Tribolium castaneum: one gene and its partners. The protein of the gene in region 2 purifies or fractionates together with the protein of the main gene of each other region. This does not show direct contact. Links are inferred from orthologs where the notes say so. Each region holds a gene or a part of one and is shown on either strand. Other genes may lie near its edges. The genes, in order: ATP-dependent RNA helicase DDX42, splicing factor 3B subunit 4, Phf5a and Dhx15.

Region 1 (4,433 bases), on a different chromosome or scaffold from region 2:
AATGTTTTAATTGTCGTTTTCGGTCAATATAAAGTGAATTTAGCTTTTATACAGCGTATTTTGTCGTTTTTAAGCAAGAAATCGCAAAAATCAATTGATACAATTTTTGAAAACGTCGAAATGATTAGTCAACGCTAATTTAAAAACTTATAATAATATATTGTATTACAGAAAACTCTCTAACCCTTTTATACAGAAGATCCATTGGTTTGAAAGAGAACTTTGAATTGCGTTTATTTAAAGAAAAGCCAAAATTTTCATTGGTTTTTTTATGGTGGAAATGATTGAAAAAAAAAAAATAATGTAAAATAATTTCTCTTTATTTATTTATTTTAGAAATAAAGGAAAAACATCTGCTCTTGAATAAAAAATGAAGTTTAACGTACCTGTAAGGAAAATCCGTTACAAAAAATGAGATTAAGTTGTGAGTGAAAAAACCAAAAGTAAATAAAGCTAATCTTTTAGATTTGATTAAAAACAATATCTAACAAACTGTTGTAATAGTTGGTTCAGGTTAATAAATAAAACAAGTTTGTGTACCAGATAATTTTTTTCCATTACGGCCGAAAATGACAGAAAAACCTAAATACCTGAATAATTCCGCGTTTTGGGAAAGAGCGGCAACTTGCTGGCGTTCCGCACGTCAATAATTAGCACAAGTGTGGCAAAAACCAGCAGACTTTTCGCCAGCATTTCACTCAACTAACCAGTTTATTAACCTTTAGCTTATCTAAGCAGACAAAATGTAGGAGGCGGCGGAAAATCGGTCAAATTATCTAAACACTACTTCTGGATGAAATCGCTTTAATAACACTAACAACTTTAATCAAAAGTCCATGCATAAAAATTACACCTACAACATTAATCTAGAAAAAAATCACTGCCATCTACTCTTCTTTCGTGTGGAGGCGGGGGGCGGAGCTTGTGGAACCGGGTCAGAACTTGCTGTAAACTAATCACAAAGAGATTTGCCAAAATTTTAATATCAAATAAAAACTAACCTGATTCATGTATTGGGCTTTGAAAGCCGCTTTCATCGCCGATAAGCGATCAGTGGCCGGCCCTCGAGACTGGCTGTGTGATTCCCCCACGAAAGTCTTCGAAGCCCCTCCCACTTTCTCCTTGAAGCCCAGCCCAACCCCGCCCACGTTCGGGTTACCACCTTTACTCTTATATCGCTGTTTCCTGTACCATGAACTTTGCAATGCCAAGTCTAGCACTTCCTGAGGTACGTCTTGATGCGCCGCTTCCAAGTTTTTAACAATATGGCCCACAAATTCCTTATCTTTGGGCGTGATTAACGTGTAGGCGGTGCCTTGATTGCCGGCACGCCCCGTTCGACCAATCCGGTGCGTGTGCGTGTCAATATCACGTGCTATGTCGTAATTAACCACCGTACGGATGTGGGGGATGTCTAGACCGCGGGCCGCAACGTCCGTGGCCACCAATAAGCTACATTCTTTTTTCTTGAATGCGGTTATAACCTTGTTACGCTCGGCCTGCTCTATATCACCGTGGAGTAACAAACATTCGAATTCTTTGACTTTTAAATCGTTGGCCAATTGTTCGGCATCAACTTTCTTCGTGACAAACACCAACACCGAACCAGCGGATAACAACTCGACCAAATTATTCACCAACCAATCCCTCTTCAACTGTTGGTTTTCCATCAAAAGAACCCTCTGAGTCACATCCTCGTTAGCCTGCCCTGTAATTAGGGTTGCCAGATATCAAAATATTTTACAAAAAATATATGAAAATGCCTACATTGTGTCGAAAGTTAACATAAGTGAAGATTTTATTTTGTTGTACATTAGGGCTTCTTATAGAACTGTTTGCAATGCAGTGACATGAATTTTTTTAAAGTGAACATAGGATTAAGAGTGTTGTGCTATGTTCAGTAAAATAAAAACCTCAGTGCATAAATGAAAACAACTATATAAAACAAGAATAAGAAATAAGAACGATAAAAAAAACATAGGCAAAATTATAAAAATATTTTGTTGTGGCAAAAATGCTCGAACAGGTGGAAACCCGTAATTTTCGAAATAGCAATATCAAAAGAATAAATGTTACATAACGATATTTTCGAAAATAAAACTTCAAAAGTGGTACATACATTTTAATACCAAAAAACAAAGAAAATTCAATAATTAACAAAAAAACGTCAATTCTTCATCTAAATACAATTTTCAAAGTGCAGTGATAATACTTCTGAAGCTTTTCTTGTACAGTCCAGAAATTGTTTGTAATGTACACCCTGTTCTAAGTCTTATGGCCGAAACAAGAATAAATAATATTTTTTTGTAACATTTTAAGTATCTGAATCCTAGATTATAAACACTATCTTAAAACACGCTTCCCATAGCAATGTTTCAACAAAAAAATTTAGTAACACTCATACGAAAACGCTTAAAGTTCTCGGGTGTCTAGGTATACAACTCGCATTCGCTCGTTGCATAACGACAGCCTTCAAGATTAAAGCTTGTGTTTTCGCACTCGTATTATTACCTATTCTAGTCGTGTAAAAAAATAAATTAATAGACTAATCGATAGAAAAATAATTAGGCTACAAATTGATGCTTTGGTATTGTTCAATTTTTTAAGGTTTAGTTATGAGACACTAAAAAACAATTTTTCAAAAAACATTTTTGAAGTTATGGCATGAACAACTTCCATATTAATACTTTTTAAATCCGCTAAATCTAGTTGTCTAATTAAAAAAAAACGAAACAGACTAGTTTCTCTTTTAAACTAAACAAAATAATATACAAATGTTTTGCCACAAGAAGATACTTTATAAACTTTGTTAAAATAAAAAAAATAAGCAATTCCTTTCGAAATTAATTCTAGAATCCATTTATAATTTTTATATTCCATTTTAAAAATATATTTTTAATTCCAATTTTAAAAATACGAGTATTAGGCAAACATGCCTTTTAAAAAACTACATAGCATAGTTGGAACATCAGTTTGATCACTTTTATGGAAAAGTTTTATTGTCTTGTTCAGCAAATCAATATCGTCAAGGAGTTGATCCATATTCAATCATAACTCTTCATTATCTGGACAAACTTCTGGAATTGCTATTCCATCACGGTAACGTAATTAAATAACTTATTAAATTTGCAAAAAAATAAACGAACGAAACGTAATAGAAAGTAGCAGTACGTTTTTTGAGAGTAAAGATGTAAACATTTGAATTTGTAATAATTTATTAAAGTAGACTTCATTAGTGTTATATGAAAACGCTGAAGTACATTTTTCAAAAACACCTATTCTAATCAATTTGAATTTTTTATACAAAAAGTGAGAGCAACAACTAAAAAAGTACATTTTTCTTCAAATAGTGTTACACTGGATTTCATATAAAAGTTTAGCAAATAAATACATAGATGGTACCATGGTAGAAGGTATTGATAAAGAGAATGGTTTAGAGAACCAAGATATTTTGAAGAAAAAGAAAACGCAAATGCTGCTAAGTTAGAAAAACTTAGAAACTTTACTAGACTCTAAAAATTATTAATTACCATTTAACGTTGTTTTTATTATTTTATTTTTATTTACAATTCCGGAAGCTTCATCTTTTTGGTGTTGTCAATATACCGCAATTTTTTAACTTATTTTTTTAGTAACTCCACTATAACCTTCGTTTTTTTCCTGTATTTTTGCTATAATTGCGAAATCCAAATCTTTGCTTTTTCTCCCCGTATCCATTTATTATTGCCTGCACGTATTTTTATGCCTGTTTTTCAAATTGTCGAATTTGGTTTTAACCTGCTGTAAATTTCCTTGAAATGAGTTTTTTAATCAATTTATTTTTAAATAAATTTTATCAGTCCATAAATATTTCTACGAGCAATAAAATCACTTTCTCTTTGAAAAAACTGCTTCCAAGATTCCTTTTCTGCTTGGTCTACATTATATTCTGGCATGCATTTACAATACAATAATCAACAGCAAAACTGTTGACGATAGAAATATGATCTCTTAAAGAAAATTTAATTTTCTACAACTTTCTTCCTAAAGCTTTTCTTGTATCTTTAACTAAATCCGAGACAAGGCGCACATTTTAAACTAAAAAAACTTTTCTCTCATGTTCCCAATAAAAATTTTAGTCGTCACTTTTTCTCAGTCTATTAGGAGTGCAAAGCTCAACATTTGTGTATTTTTTTAAGTAATTAGAGAACTGGTTGGATTTAAATTAAGTTAAAACCGAGAGGTATATATTGCTTTAAGCGCCCTCATTTTTGCTCCGCCCTACTATTTTTTTGGATTCAGAAAATCTTGCAATTTTGTACCTAGTTTCGTCTTCTAAGCTATAGTTTTCCGTAGTCGGAGCAACTTTATTGCCAATCCTAATACATTCGGAGTTACAAATCGACATAATTTATTATCTAATGATCCCTTAGCTAAAATAATGGCGCTGCATG
Region 2 (3,483 bases):
CTAAAAAAAAAAGATCAAAGATAAATGGAAAAAAATGAGTAAACAAAATAAATTAACCAAACAGGCACTAAGCACTAAAATTTTTTGTGAGAAATTTACTTTTAAATAAAATAAAATTCAGTTGTTGATTTTAAAACACCCCGTATTCATCCAATCTTTTTTTGTACGACATCGGTCGTGGTATGGACACAGTACTTTGCTGATGCACTGTAATTTTTCCAACTGTCTCACTTGTGAGAAATAGAGTGAACGAGAAGTGGTGCTCTGCTCTCAATTAACCTCACTTTTTGCCACATTATTTATCAACTGTATTTTTGATTCATTTCAAAACCATAAATGGAGAATTACCACAAAGGTAAAAACGTGGAAGAACCTCTCGAAAGGGACAAAATTCCAATTCCTAACCTTCCTGAAAATTTTTTATGGATGCAGGTAATAAACGTAATTACAAAATTCACATTAATTTTATTTCATTGTTTTAGGTGAGGGGTGGAAGTAAAATAAGGAATCTTGTAAGTCACGCATTAAATGAATTTCCAAGTGCTAAAGCCGTTGTGTGGACAGGATTTGGACAATCTGTTGGTAAAACTGTAACATGTGCTGAAATTATGAAACGGGAACACAATAATCAGTTACACCAAATAACGAAACTGTGTTATAGGGTGTAAGTTTGTTTTCAATTAAAAATTTCCGCTGACATGACTTAAAATAAGTTGGTGACATTGCATGGCAAACGCCACTAAGAGTGTCACCAACTTAATTTCAGCCTAAGACGACTTGGATCAGAAATTGCATCATATTTTACAATTTTGCAGAGTAGAAGAATTTTGGGATCCAGTTATTCCTGATTTAGACCAAATAGTTGTTAAACGAAAATTGCCAATGATACATATTCTACTTTCACTAGAAACATTAAGTTTTGAGGAATTAGGATATCAAGCCCCTGGTACCACAATACCATTTACTGGAAATAGTGACAATAATAAAAAGGATAATAATAGGAAAATCCAAAAAACAAGACACAAAACGAAATAAAAAAATTCACCTTGACTTTATTGTATTATTGTTTTTACCAATTATTTTCGCTAAAATTATTCGGAGGTGGTGGTGGAGGTCCCCTTGGTGGGAACGGTGGTCTCCCTCCACCAAAATTAACCGGCGGCCTCCAATTCGGGGGCCGCCCCCCTGGAGGCGGTGGCGGCGGGAAACATCCCGGGAACGGCGGTGCACCTGACGTTGGGGGCGCTGCCGAGTTTGGCGGTCCAGGTGGTGGTGGCGGTAACCCACCTCCACCTTGCCACGGAGGTGGTATCATCCTGGGGGCGCCTGAAGCTTGCGTTGAGGCAGGCATTGGTGGCAGAGGGGGCCGTGCTCCAGCGGCGGAGGTTGGAGGCGGTGGAGGTGCACCTGGTGGCAAGGGCGGTTGGGAGGGAGGTAATGGCGGAGGGGGGATCCCCGAGGGGAAAGAACTGGGTGGAGGAACTGGTGGGGGTGGAGGAGGTTGCATACTTGCCGGAGTGGGGGGTGGTGGAGGCATCATTCCAGCGAGGATTACGGGAGGTGGGGGCGGAGCGAGAGTCATTCCTGGGGGCATCATGCCCATGGGAGGGGCGTCGGCGAATAGTTGATGGGGGCGGTCGGCTTGGGAGAGGGGGTTTTGGGCTGCGAGGAGACGCTCGGCTGCGGAGCCGTGACGTTCGCCTTTGGAGTCTTTCTTGAAGGCGTAGGAGACGGAAATGGGGCGGTTGCAGAGGTATTGGCCGTTCATTGCTTCGATTGAGGCGTCAGATGCTTCGAAACTTGCAAAGTTGATGAAAGCGAAGCCTTTGGAATTGCCAGTGTCGGGGTCTCTCATTATCTACAATATTAAAAAATATAAAAAAAACGTTTGAAAAAAAAAATAGATTGGTATGTGGAGAAGCTGAACGTTTAATTTTACCAAATGGAGTGAGACAAATAACTCAACTGATAAATAACATACAGAGATTAGCAAAATTATAAATAAAAATAAATAAATAAATTTTGAAGGAAGAATGCTCGTATAGGTAATTTTTTTCAATACATGAGAATCCCTAAATCTGTCGCATAAAGCAATACAAGGCACTTACACCTGATTTAACAATTGGGGCTTTTCATGCGAAGCGGACAACGAAAAAATTTGAGATCTTGAAATTCGGTTATACAGGGTCCTCAAAAACTGGCGCACCAACTCAGTGGTACGTTATTGAGAAGCAAGTGTAGATTACGGGAAAAATGTTGAAAAAATTCCTAAAGTCATATTTTAAAAAATCTAGAGCTACAAACTTATTGTATTTAACTTCTTTACTTTTCATTATTTTTTAATGTTTTTATGTTTCACAGTAAGTAATCGTTTCCTAACAAAACGATTAATAATTATTTTTAAATTTTTAAATTTTTTAAAAATGTAAATTTACAAGAAAATAATACATTTCACACTTAACTTAGTTATTTTGTTTTGTTCCTATCGTTTCCAAATACTTTTACAAAATATAGTAGACAAAAACTTTTGTTTTCAATATTTAAATAACAATAATAACATTAATAATTCAGAGTGGCCCATTGCTTGGTGCAAAAGTGAAAGCGCACTACAAAAATTAACGAGAAAAAAGAAAAGAAAGAAAAAGAAATAAGAAATTATCGATATTTTTCTGCCTAGTTAGGTATAGTGGCGGTCAGCTCGATTTGCGTGTGCGTCATCAATTTCATTTTTTCATTACCAACACAAAGCTATAAAAAAATTATCAAAAACAATGCAAATTTAAACAGTTAAGGGCTATCTAAGGGTGGTATCCTTGAACATTGATTTACATGTGCACTTCGACAACACCGTCAAGTGTCACGAATTTGTCAAACTGACATTGACAGTAAATTACAGACGTCGTCGCTTGGTTGTCGAAAATGTTATCGGTGTTAATCACAAGTATTTTCTGTTCGTTTATTGTGTTTTGTGATTTGCGTTTCGTTAGGTTTTTGATTCTGCGTTTATTAGTTCTTGTTTTGTGAATCTGTATTTTTTGTAACAACTCATAATTTAAACACTTCGTAACCTCAAAAAATATTTGATAGTTTGTCACCGCTATGCCCCTGCTATGTAAACGTAGTGACAGAAATGTCAGATGACGCACACGCAAATGGAGCTGAGCGCTACCATATGTCTATAATTATTAAGGCCATGAAGGATGTTACAAAGCAATATTTCATTTCAATATACAATTCCGTTATTTGTCACCGGATTGTTATCAAATTAGAATGCACATATTTTAGGAGGTTGTCTTTCAATTAGGGGCAAAAAATGACCTCAAGTTAAGAAATGAAATTTTAAAACATTTCTTTTGTTTAAAATAAAGCCAAATTACCGTTGGATCATTAAACTCCGAAAAATAAATGACCACACAAAAAATTAACCAAATCGATCGGCTGATCCAAGAAAGAAATTAATTTTGTTGTTAAAAACTTAATCCA
Region 3 (3,710 bases), about 4.0 Mb from region 2:
ACTGAAAATTAATTACATTGTAAAATTTAAAAACTGGCTTAAAAGTTAAAAGAATAGGTGACTGAGGGTTATGATACTCTGGTGTTGACTTTGGTAAATTATAAATTGACAGGGAATCCTATCTTTAAAGTAGAGGAAGATAAAAAGAGAGTTTACTGTTGAATAGAAACTAGAAGGGAAACGTAAAACTACCTATTTACATCAACACAGCTTAAACTGAATTACTGTGTTTTTTTGTATATGTGTTTTTTGGTAAGTGAGTATTTTTCTGTTTGAGCTTCTTTCCTCGTGAGCTTTTTTCTGCATGAGCTGTTTTCCATGTTACTTTTTTTCGATGGAGGGTTTTTTCTTTGCGCGCATTATTACGTGTGAGCTTTTTTCTTGTGGTCATTTATGTTTGTGAGCTTTTTCCTGTGCGCATTTTTCATGTGGACTTATTTCTGGTCACCGAAAAAAATCCCAAAAATCGCGGTAGAGAATCTTTTGTCCAGGATCGGTTCAGAACCAATTCAAACGATCCTCGGACGTAGGATTTTTAGTTCTAGACTTAAACGTATTTGTCTCTGTTACTCTCGTGTCTTTGAAGCTTTCTGACGTAGGAAATGGGTTTGAATCACAATAAAGAAATAGTCTGTCTTGGTTATCGAGATTTATTTAATACCTTACTAAACCAAAATTATTAAAAAAATAACGTTTGTAAACTTAAAAATGGGTTGTGTTCAATAACTTATACCATTTCTAACTTTATGATAATTTTTGGTGGCTTGTTTGTTTCTAAACATTCACTAAGAACTTGATAACGATAAAATATTGTTCGCGGTAGACGAAAGTCCGTAACTGAATCTGAAGCGCACACGCGCTTTAAATAAATCCTGGACTAGTTCAGGATTAGTTCTAAAAACCTTCCGCGAACAAAGCTGATAACATATGACGCTGACACTAATAAATCCTTCAAAACATGTCAATTTTTGTCATTTTTTCGAAGACAAAAAGCCGCTGCCATTATCAAAATCATATGATGGCAGTAAAAAATATTGTAGATGGCACACATGAATATGAAATTTTGTCTATTCACAAACATTATCATACTCGGAATTGCCTCGCGCGTTAAACTACTTTTTTTCCTTGATTTTTTCATTATAGAAAACTAGGAAAACAGTGCAAAAACAAAATTAAAAAAAAGATTTTTTTTAATATGATAACAGGAAAATTGACTGACTGATAATAAATTTTATGATTTATTTTAATTACACAAAATCACATTAGCGCCGCTTAAACCCGTATTTCTTACGCTCATAGAAGAGGTCAGTCTTCGAACTACCCAGATTCACAATTTTGGGGCACCCATCCCTGTCTTTCTCCTGAATTGTGCATTCCTTACAGTAGTAAGCGTCTGAAATACCTGGACCTCCACAAATCACGCATCTGCCCTGATACGAACCGTAGTTACACTCGTCACAAATCCTCACTAAAGTGCAGGGACGCACGTACGAATCGCAAATAACGCATTTTCCGTCACACTTCTCACAGAGCCTCCCTATGGCCACCCCCGGCTGCTTGCGACAAAAAATCAAATCGGGGTGATGCTTGGCCATGCTTCAGTGATCTACAAATCTTGTTTCAACAATACTGTTATTCCAAACTCAGGAACTTACCGTAAAACGTGAGAAAACGTTGAGCTTTGTTTCGAGATTTGTTAGGTTATGTGTACAACAGTTGACAGTTGAACTGGAAGTGTCGACAGTTACGCCAGCTAGACGTTCTTATTTTCGTGTCAAATGATTAATTAATTGTCGAATTTTGATTTGAGTATTACGGAAGCACAAACTAATTTCTATATAACTTAAGAATCGTGACCACATTCAACAAATAAATAAATAAATTTAAATTTTGACACCAGACACTAGTAATTTCATTTCATCAAGTTGCTGAGTTCGTTAAGTTGGCAACACTACTATAAAAAATCAAAAAGTGATTGATTCCCTTTGAACGTTAGGCTCCAATTTGCCGAAACTGAAGCGATTTCAACAATGAATTCGATGTTTTCCTCACCCGCAATCCACGTTTTCTCCCAAGAAAGTGAGTATTTGATGTTCGGTGAAATAATCTTCAAGTGTCGTTTTTAGACGTTGGAAGTGTGGCAAAAAAGCCAAGAACCACTAACACCCTATCAAGAAAACCGTTTTTTGATCGAGCCGTGAATGCAAACACGCCTGATTTTGGCAGAAATGTGAAACCCGAGCCGCAACTGAAAAAGCCTGAGCAAAATATTGACATAGAAGATGATGACTTATTTATTTACGACACTTACTCCTTCAAGGATATGAACGGTTTTCACCGAGATTTGTGTGTGACGAAATCTGATTTCTGGTTTTAGATGATTGCGCTGCTGATAAATTAATTACTGCAAAGGAAAAATTCAACAAGCTGCGACCATGTTGTGGTTACAAGGAGTTGACTCCATCTCCAAAGTTATCACCTGTTGATTTTGATATGTTTATTAAGATTCCGAAAACTATCAAGTTTTCTGTAAAGTCTGAAGACAGTTACGACATGACCGATGAAAGTGAGCACATTTCACTGCCGGACATTGATTTTTATTAAACCCTTATAAGTGGTATTTTTGTATTGATTTATCTTAAATAAAGAGATTTGAGTTTCAAAATTTTATTGAAAATATCTTTGCTGCGAAGCTACATGTTACATCTAAGAGTATTTAAACCACATCTTCCTTGAAGTGAAGAATGTTTCTCTTGACTAATTGTCCGTAAAATAGTACTTTTCCGAAATGAATGTGTGTAATGTTGGTTGCATAATATTTGAATAAGCTCAGAAATATTAGGTAGTAATAAATTCGATTTTGATCAGTAAAAAATAATAAGTGATCAGTATTTTAATAATTTTTGCACAGTAAAAAATTTAAATGACAAGTAAACCACGCACAGTATTTTATTAAAATTTGTCCAGTACAAAAATCGTATATGCACAGTATCTTGTTCAGTTTGCACAGTTTAAATAATACACGCTCAGTAGCTAGCTTGCAGGCTAGGGCTTCGCCCCAGCGAACTAAAAGGAAACATACCCCTCCAACAATTAAACTCAAAAATGTAAAACTCAAAATGTGGAATTCCACACTCTCTACATAATTTTGAGATTCTATTATTGATTGTGCATGTATTATTTTTACTTTACCAAAGCCAGTAGATATACTAAAGTAGCGACACGGACCTTGACAGGGCAACAATAACGATTATACACTCTACAGATGGCTCCACCATCAAAATTCAAAAATGTACGTCAAAAGTGTCAAGATTTTCTCACGTTTGAAAAATTGGTGAATCAGAACAATAAATTCGGTGATTGTCTACAATTTCACCCTGGTTATTACTGTTTATGTGTACAGATACCATGAAACCTTCAAACTTGTGCTTCACTCACGTAAAAATAAATCAGATCGTCCCTAAATTCAACTGAACATTGGAATGAGAAAGGCTTTTAGATTGCGCCGAATATAGCATCTCTTATGGACATTTCGAAGAAGGTGCTGGCGCTTCAACAGTGAATTCATTCCTTAAAAGAATTTGAACTTTGTATTTAACGAAAAAGCCAAAAACACGTTTCAAAATAATAGTTGTTTGATCTCAAAAAATTGTGTTACTTACATTTCTAATTTTAATAAACTCCTCCCTAAATGTTTTTACAGGTTATCG
Region 4 (5,075 bases), on a different chromosome or scaffold from region 2:
TTCGTGGTCAAAACGAACTCATTGTAAATAACCCACTCCGGTTTGTGATCCAAACATGTGGACGGGTGTAGTTGAACATTTTGGTTGTCCTTGATAGTAAGGTAGTGACCGGTTCTTTCCAAATGCGCCACCTCGAGTTCAAAACAATGTACTACAATCATCACTAAGAAATTTATTATTACCTGCATGAAAAACCCGTTAACTAAAGCCTTCCTTATATTAATATAATAATCCTTGCTGGTGAAATCTGTCGAAGTTCGCTTGAGATTAAACCGGTCCATAATTCTTGACAACTGTTGTCTCACGTTATCGGCAGATTTCAAGGAACGGTAATTGACAAAGTTATCATAGCACCATTGTGGATCTTCCATACCTAACCCAAACACACCAGTCAAACACAATTACTTGGTAAAACTCGCAAAAACTTACTTTGTTTGAAAGCATGGTAGACATTGAGCAGCGTCAAATGGTCCCCGTCAATATGCGCGAATCTCATTTTTGCATCGTCGGCCGCTTTCTTCGCCTCATTTGGTCGGATGAAGCACTGTGGGACTAAACATTGGAGCAGGGCAGTTGCCCGTATCCAACCAATATAGTTGCGCTCTCAAGCGTTTCCTACAGAGCTACCTTAGTCAGAACGACTCGAGCAAAACAAACCACAACATTGTGGTGTTCTGTTCTGTTCAATGTCTGTTATTTCAAGCATTTATTAGCTATATTACTAGCGGTTTTGCTCGAAAATCGTTCCGAATAACACGAACCCGCGTGACAACAGACCAATAAACAGGTAGCAGTTGATAAAGTAAAATTCATGGACAACAAACCACTTTCATTCTTCATTAAACAAAATCAACATTAAGATGCATCTAATAAACATTTTAAAAAATATTGTTTTGCACAAGCGTTTGAATTATTGATTACGGAGGTTTCGGAAATTGGCTGAGTCGTATATTCAACAAAAAATTTAGTTCATTAATAACGATAATGGTTTTTTGCTCCGACTATTATTCGGCATCAACTACCACAAAATCAAAAATATAATTTATTACTTATTAGTCTCCAAGCATAAATACTGTGGTAAAATCGTTTAAAAATGGGAACCTTTAATTCTTTTGAGGTTTGTTATGTGGCAAGTAGTGAAAGTACATTCAACGCTGCCAATTAAATAAACCAAAACAGTGAAAATGAAAAAATTATTTTGAATGAGTCTAATCGGAATAAATAACCAAATCGACGTTTAAAGCAAGGGCTGAGGGCCTGCTTCAGAAAAACGTTAATAAAATAAATACCTGACAACATCGCCGTAATGGACAGTATCTCATTGGAACAGTTGTGGTTGCAGCTGGCAATGAGCATTTTCGCCAATTGTGGATCGAGCGGAAACTCGGCCATAACCGCCCCCAAATCGGTGAGATTTCCATCATCATCCAACGCCGCCAAATAATTCAACAATTCCAAGGCCCTCATCAAGGTTTCAGGCGCCGGTGGATCCATGAAGTCAAAATGAACCAAATCATCAATTCCCAGTTTCTTCAATTGTAAAACGACCGAACCCAAATTCGATCGTAAAATTTCTGGATAGGTGTTGTCTTGCATTTCGTTCTTGTATGCTTTTTCGGTGTAAAGTCGGAAACATTTCCCCGGCCGAGTCCTTCCAGCTCTTCCGGCACGCTGCTGTGCTGAGGCTTTACTAATCGGCGAGACCAATAACGACTCGACACGAATTCGAGGATTGTAGACTTTTTGTTTCGCAAATCCGGGATCTATCACAAACACGACACCGTCTATAGTCAAGGAAGTCTCCGCAATGTTGGTCGAGACGACAACTTTGCGTCCGATCGCCCCATTGGCCTTATTAGGGGGCGCCTCCTCGAAAATACGTTGCTGCAAATTCGGAGGCAGCGTCGAATACAACGGGATACATTTTAGTTCGCCCACTTCGGGGCCCAGATTATCAATTTCGCGTTTGATTCGTTTGCAAGCAACTTCGATTTCCTCCTGACCGGTCAAAAATAGGAGAATATCGCCGGCTATTTCCTCACACATGTGGATTTGGATGACGGTACGGATGGCGGCTTCGAGATAATCGCGTTCCGGTTCGGGAGTATAGAAAATTTCTACTGGATGCGTACGACCGGGGACGTTCATTAAGGGAGCGTTATCGAAATATTGCTGGAATTTGCCAGCGTCTAGAGTCGCCGACATAATAACTAATTTCAAGTCGGAGCGTTGTTTAATAACTTCTTTTAAAACACCCATCAGAATGTCGGTGGCAAGGGTGCGCTCGTGGGCTTCGTCGAGCAAAATGCACTGGTAGGCGTCCAGCATTGGGTCGCTCATGCCCTCACGGAGCAACATACCGTCGGTCATGTACCTATTAAATCACACAGTTGTAATTTTTATGCTTTAACTTAATTTAACTTAACTGCTTTTGTAAATATATGATAAACGTAATAAAAAGCTCGAAAACGACAATTTTTTTTTTATTTCAAACCCAATTTACTGACTTTTCTGTCTGATTCATTAAAATTTCTCAAAAAAAAAACAATAATTTAAGTCCAAAAGAGAAAAAGAGTATTTTGAAAATAATAAAACCTCAGAAAACAAGGTTTAATAGAATTCGGCGAGGAAAAAACTAGTTTTTCACAAGGAATAATCATAATTGGGGAAGAAGACAAGAGTTTCTGGAAAATATTTATAGCCCCTCTTACTTGAGGATAGTTTTGGCCGACGAGCAGTCCTCGAACCGAATGCTGTAGCCCACCTCTTGCCCCAAGGCGACGTCCATTTCCTCTGACACTCTCTGGGCCACAGACATGGCAGCCACCCTCCTGGGCTGGGTGCAGCACACCCCCTTTTTCCCGACCGACCTGGCGAATTCAACGCACCACTGTGGAATTTGCGTCGTTTTCCCCGACCCTGTCTCGCCAACCAGCACAATGCACTGGTTTTCGGCGAGCAAACGCATGAAATCGTTGCGGTATTCAAAGACAGGAAGCGTGATGCGTTTGCGATACAACTCATGGTACTTATTGGTGTACGGCAAACCGGTGTGCGGGTTGATTGAGGCGTTGGTTACTTGCGGGGTGTTCGTTACTGCAGTGCTAATCCCACGTTCTTCCCTGAAATATCACGAGGCGGAAAATGTGGCTGAGTGACATTTGTGGTTACTCACCTTTTCTTCTTTATAAACGGATCCAACACTTCGATTCTCCTTTTAGACATTGTTAGATAGACTACGGCTAATAGTAACAAGCTCTCGAATTGTCTACTTGTTAACAAATAAAAATAAATTGCATTAAAGTTTGTTTGGAAATAAAACTACGACCACGACTCCATGCAACTTTGCACGGTCGATAGAGCAGAGCGCTGCCGTTTTATTGACGTTTATTTGCATGGCGACCGAAAGCGGGAGTTTAAATTTTTTGGAAAATTAAGGGGAAAAATGAAACCACGAAATTATTGTACACCGTATAACAATTTATTAATTAAACTTTATAACAATAATATAATTTGGTTTTTAGTCAGTCAAAATTATGTGTACTGCGCGAATATTGCTGATTCTGGGGAGAAACATATTAATTGCAACTTTTTAAACCGACTTCATGTAAAATTTTTCGCATAAGTTGTTTTATGGGACATGCCTCTGATGCGAAAATAGTAGTAATGTAATTAATTGTGCCCTGAATTTAAAATATATTTTAATTAATTAATACATTTATAGTACAGCACGTATGAAATTTGTTAATCCTATCGTCACTTTTTAATTAAAATTTTACACAGTTACATGTTTATGAAGTGTGTTAGTGCCGTCTGGCCATCTTGTTATACAAAGAATAGTAAAAAATTAATACAGTTTAAGAAATCTTAAGTCTATTACCACATTTAACCGTATCATTTAAAAAGCTCATTTTGTTGGCAAATCAGTAGTGATGGTTGGCTCTTGTGATTGTAGTTCTCGATATGCATGTGATGTATTGCATATTTGGTAATTTACGGACATTGCTCTTTTGCTGACTGAACGCAATAACAGATAACAGAAAGAAATCGATTTTAAGACATCTACTGTTACGATATATTTCACTATATCATATAATAATCGTATATTTTGATTAACATTTCCTAGATATTTATTTAACTAAACTAAATAAAAGCCGAACTTATCTCCTAATATCTACAACGATCAAAACGAAATTTTAGTCCAACAGTTTCTATTTTAAACAGTAATTCGATGAAGTCTATTCACTTTAACCACTTAAGGAAGAACAAGGATCTTAAGCTAAACTGATGTAAATACGGATAAATTTACAATTCTTGTACCTTACTCACAAGTTCAAACACACACGTGCTTTGAACTTGTGCAGTGTTACTGAACTACGGGAAAAATCGAATATCATTCTGAAGTACTTCCAGATTTTCGAATATTCACTTTTACAATAAATTTACGAGACCGCGTGTGTAATAAAGGGTGTAAAATTTCGTTACAATTTTGTGGTTCGTGTACGCTGACACAAAAATAATTTCAAGTTTTTTGTACTATTTCTCAAAAGCCAATAATAATGTGACGTTCTTTTATCAAAAATATTTGTCGTTTGGGAGTAAATTATGTTAAAATTTACATTTACGTCTTACAGTTTATTAATTCATAAAGAAAAGGCAAAGAGGCACTTCAGAATTAAATAAATTCAGGAAGAGAATCAGACACCTGTGCATGTAGACCCACGATTTTATTCTCTTAGCACTTTAAATTAGGCGGACAGACCCGGTCTGTTGATTGGGGTATTATACGATCGAAACAACTTCAGATCAAAATTATTTCAATCATAGGCTCGTTACGTACCTAATTACAGTCACATTCACAACTGACAGTCACTTTAGGTTTGGCCTGGATTAATTGCTACATAATAATCTCAATTCAACATCTTCTTTATCTAAGTTTTATTCGTAATATTAGCTCTAATTGACAAATCATAAGCAAGGTTTTCAAAATATATGCAGGAATTGTCTCCAGGTTCACCCCTTAAAATATTACAGTAAGAGTAAATTTCCTTAAAAAACATACAAAGCTAACTAAG

What was found.
Region 1: the proteins of splicing factor 3B subunit 4 (region 2) and ATP-dependent RNA helicase DDX42 purify together in Homo sapiens (affinity purification with mass spectrometry; 3 studies listed by BioGRID and IntAct, with this or other methods). This does not show direct contact. The link is inferred for Tribolium castaneum from reciprocal best matches to the Homo sapiens genes SF3B4 and DDX42.
Region 3: the proteins of splicing factor 3B subunit 4 (region 2) and Phf5a purify together in Homo sapiens (affinity purification with mass spectrometry; 6 studies listed by BioGRID and IntAct, with this or other methods). This does not show direct contact. The link is inferred for Tribolium castaneum from reciprocal best matches to the Homo sapiens genes SF3B4 and PHF5A.
Region 4: the proteins of splicing factor 3B subunit 4 (region 2) and Dhx15 purify together in Homo sapiens (co-immunoprecipitation; 4 studies listed by BioGRID and IntAct, with this or other methods). This does not show direct contact. The link is inferred for Tribolium castaneum from reciprocal best matches to the Homo sapiens genes SF3B4 and DHX15.

What each region holds. Positions count from the first base shown.
Region 1 is NC_087399.1:9,764,860-9,769,292, forward strand, and holds the end of ATP-dependent RNA helicase DDX42, read right to left. Parts: intron 1,709-4,433; coding exon 1,002-1,708; intron 953-1,001; coding exon 878-952; 3' UTR 788-877; downstream 1-787. Other genes in the region: endothelin-converting enzyme 2, read right to left, coding at 591-693. UniProt on the Homo sapiens protein: ATP-dependent RNA helicase that binds to partially double-stranded RNAs (dsRNAs) in order to unwind RNA secondary structures. Unwinding is promoted in the presence of single-strand binding proteins.
Region 2 is NC_087395.1:2,320,015-2,323,497, reverse strand, and holds the end of splicing factor 3B subunit 4, read right to left. Parts: intron 1,859-3,483; coding exon 1,070-1,858; 3' UTR 1,029-1,069; downstream 1-1,028. UniProt on the Homo sapiens protein: Component of the 17S U2 SnRNP complex of the spliceosome, a large ribonucleoprotein complex that removes introns from transcribed pre-mRNAs.
Region 3 is NC_087395.1:6,324,138-6,327,847, forward strand, and holds Phf5a (PHD finger-like domain-containing protein 5A), read right to left. Parts: upstream 1,809-3,710; 5' UTR 1,656-1,808; intron 1,615-1,655; exon of another isoform or gene 1,607-1,614; 5' UTR 1,596-1,606; coding exon 1,263-1,595; 3' UTR 1,226-1,262; downstream 1-1,225. Other genes in the region: uncharacterized protein LOC655475, read left to right, coding at 2,031-2,079, 2,127-2,330, 2,378-2,604.
Region 4 is NC_087397.1:4,419,554-4,424,628, reverse strand, and holds the start of Dhx15 (putative pre-mRNA-splicing factor ATP-dependent RNA helicase PRP1), read right to left. Parts: upstream 3,393-5,075; 5' UTR 3,226-3,392; coding exon 3,176-3,225; intron 3,123-3,175; coding exon 2,712-3,122; intron 2,375-2,711; coding exon 1,290-2,374; intron 553-1,289; coding exon 430-552; intron 374-429; coding exon 183-373; intron 132-182; coding exon 1-131.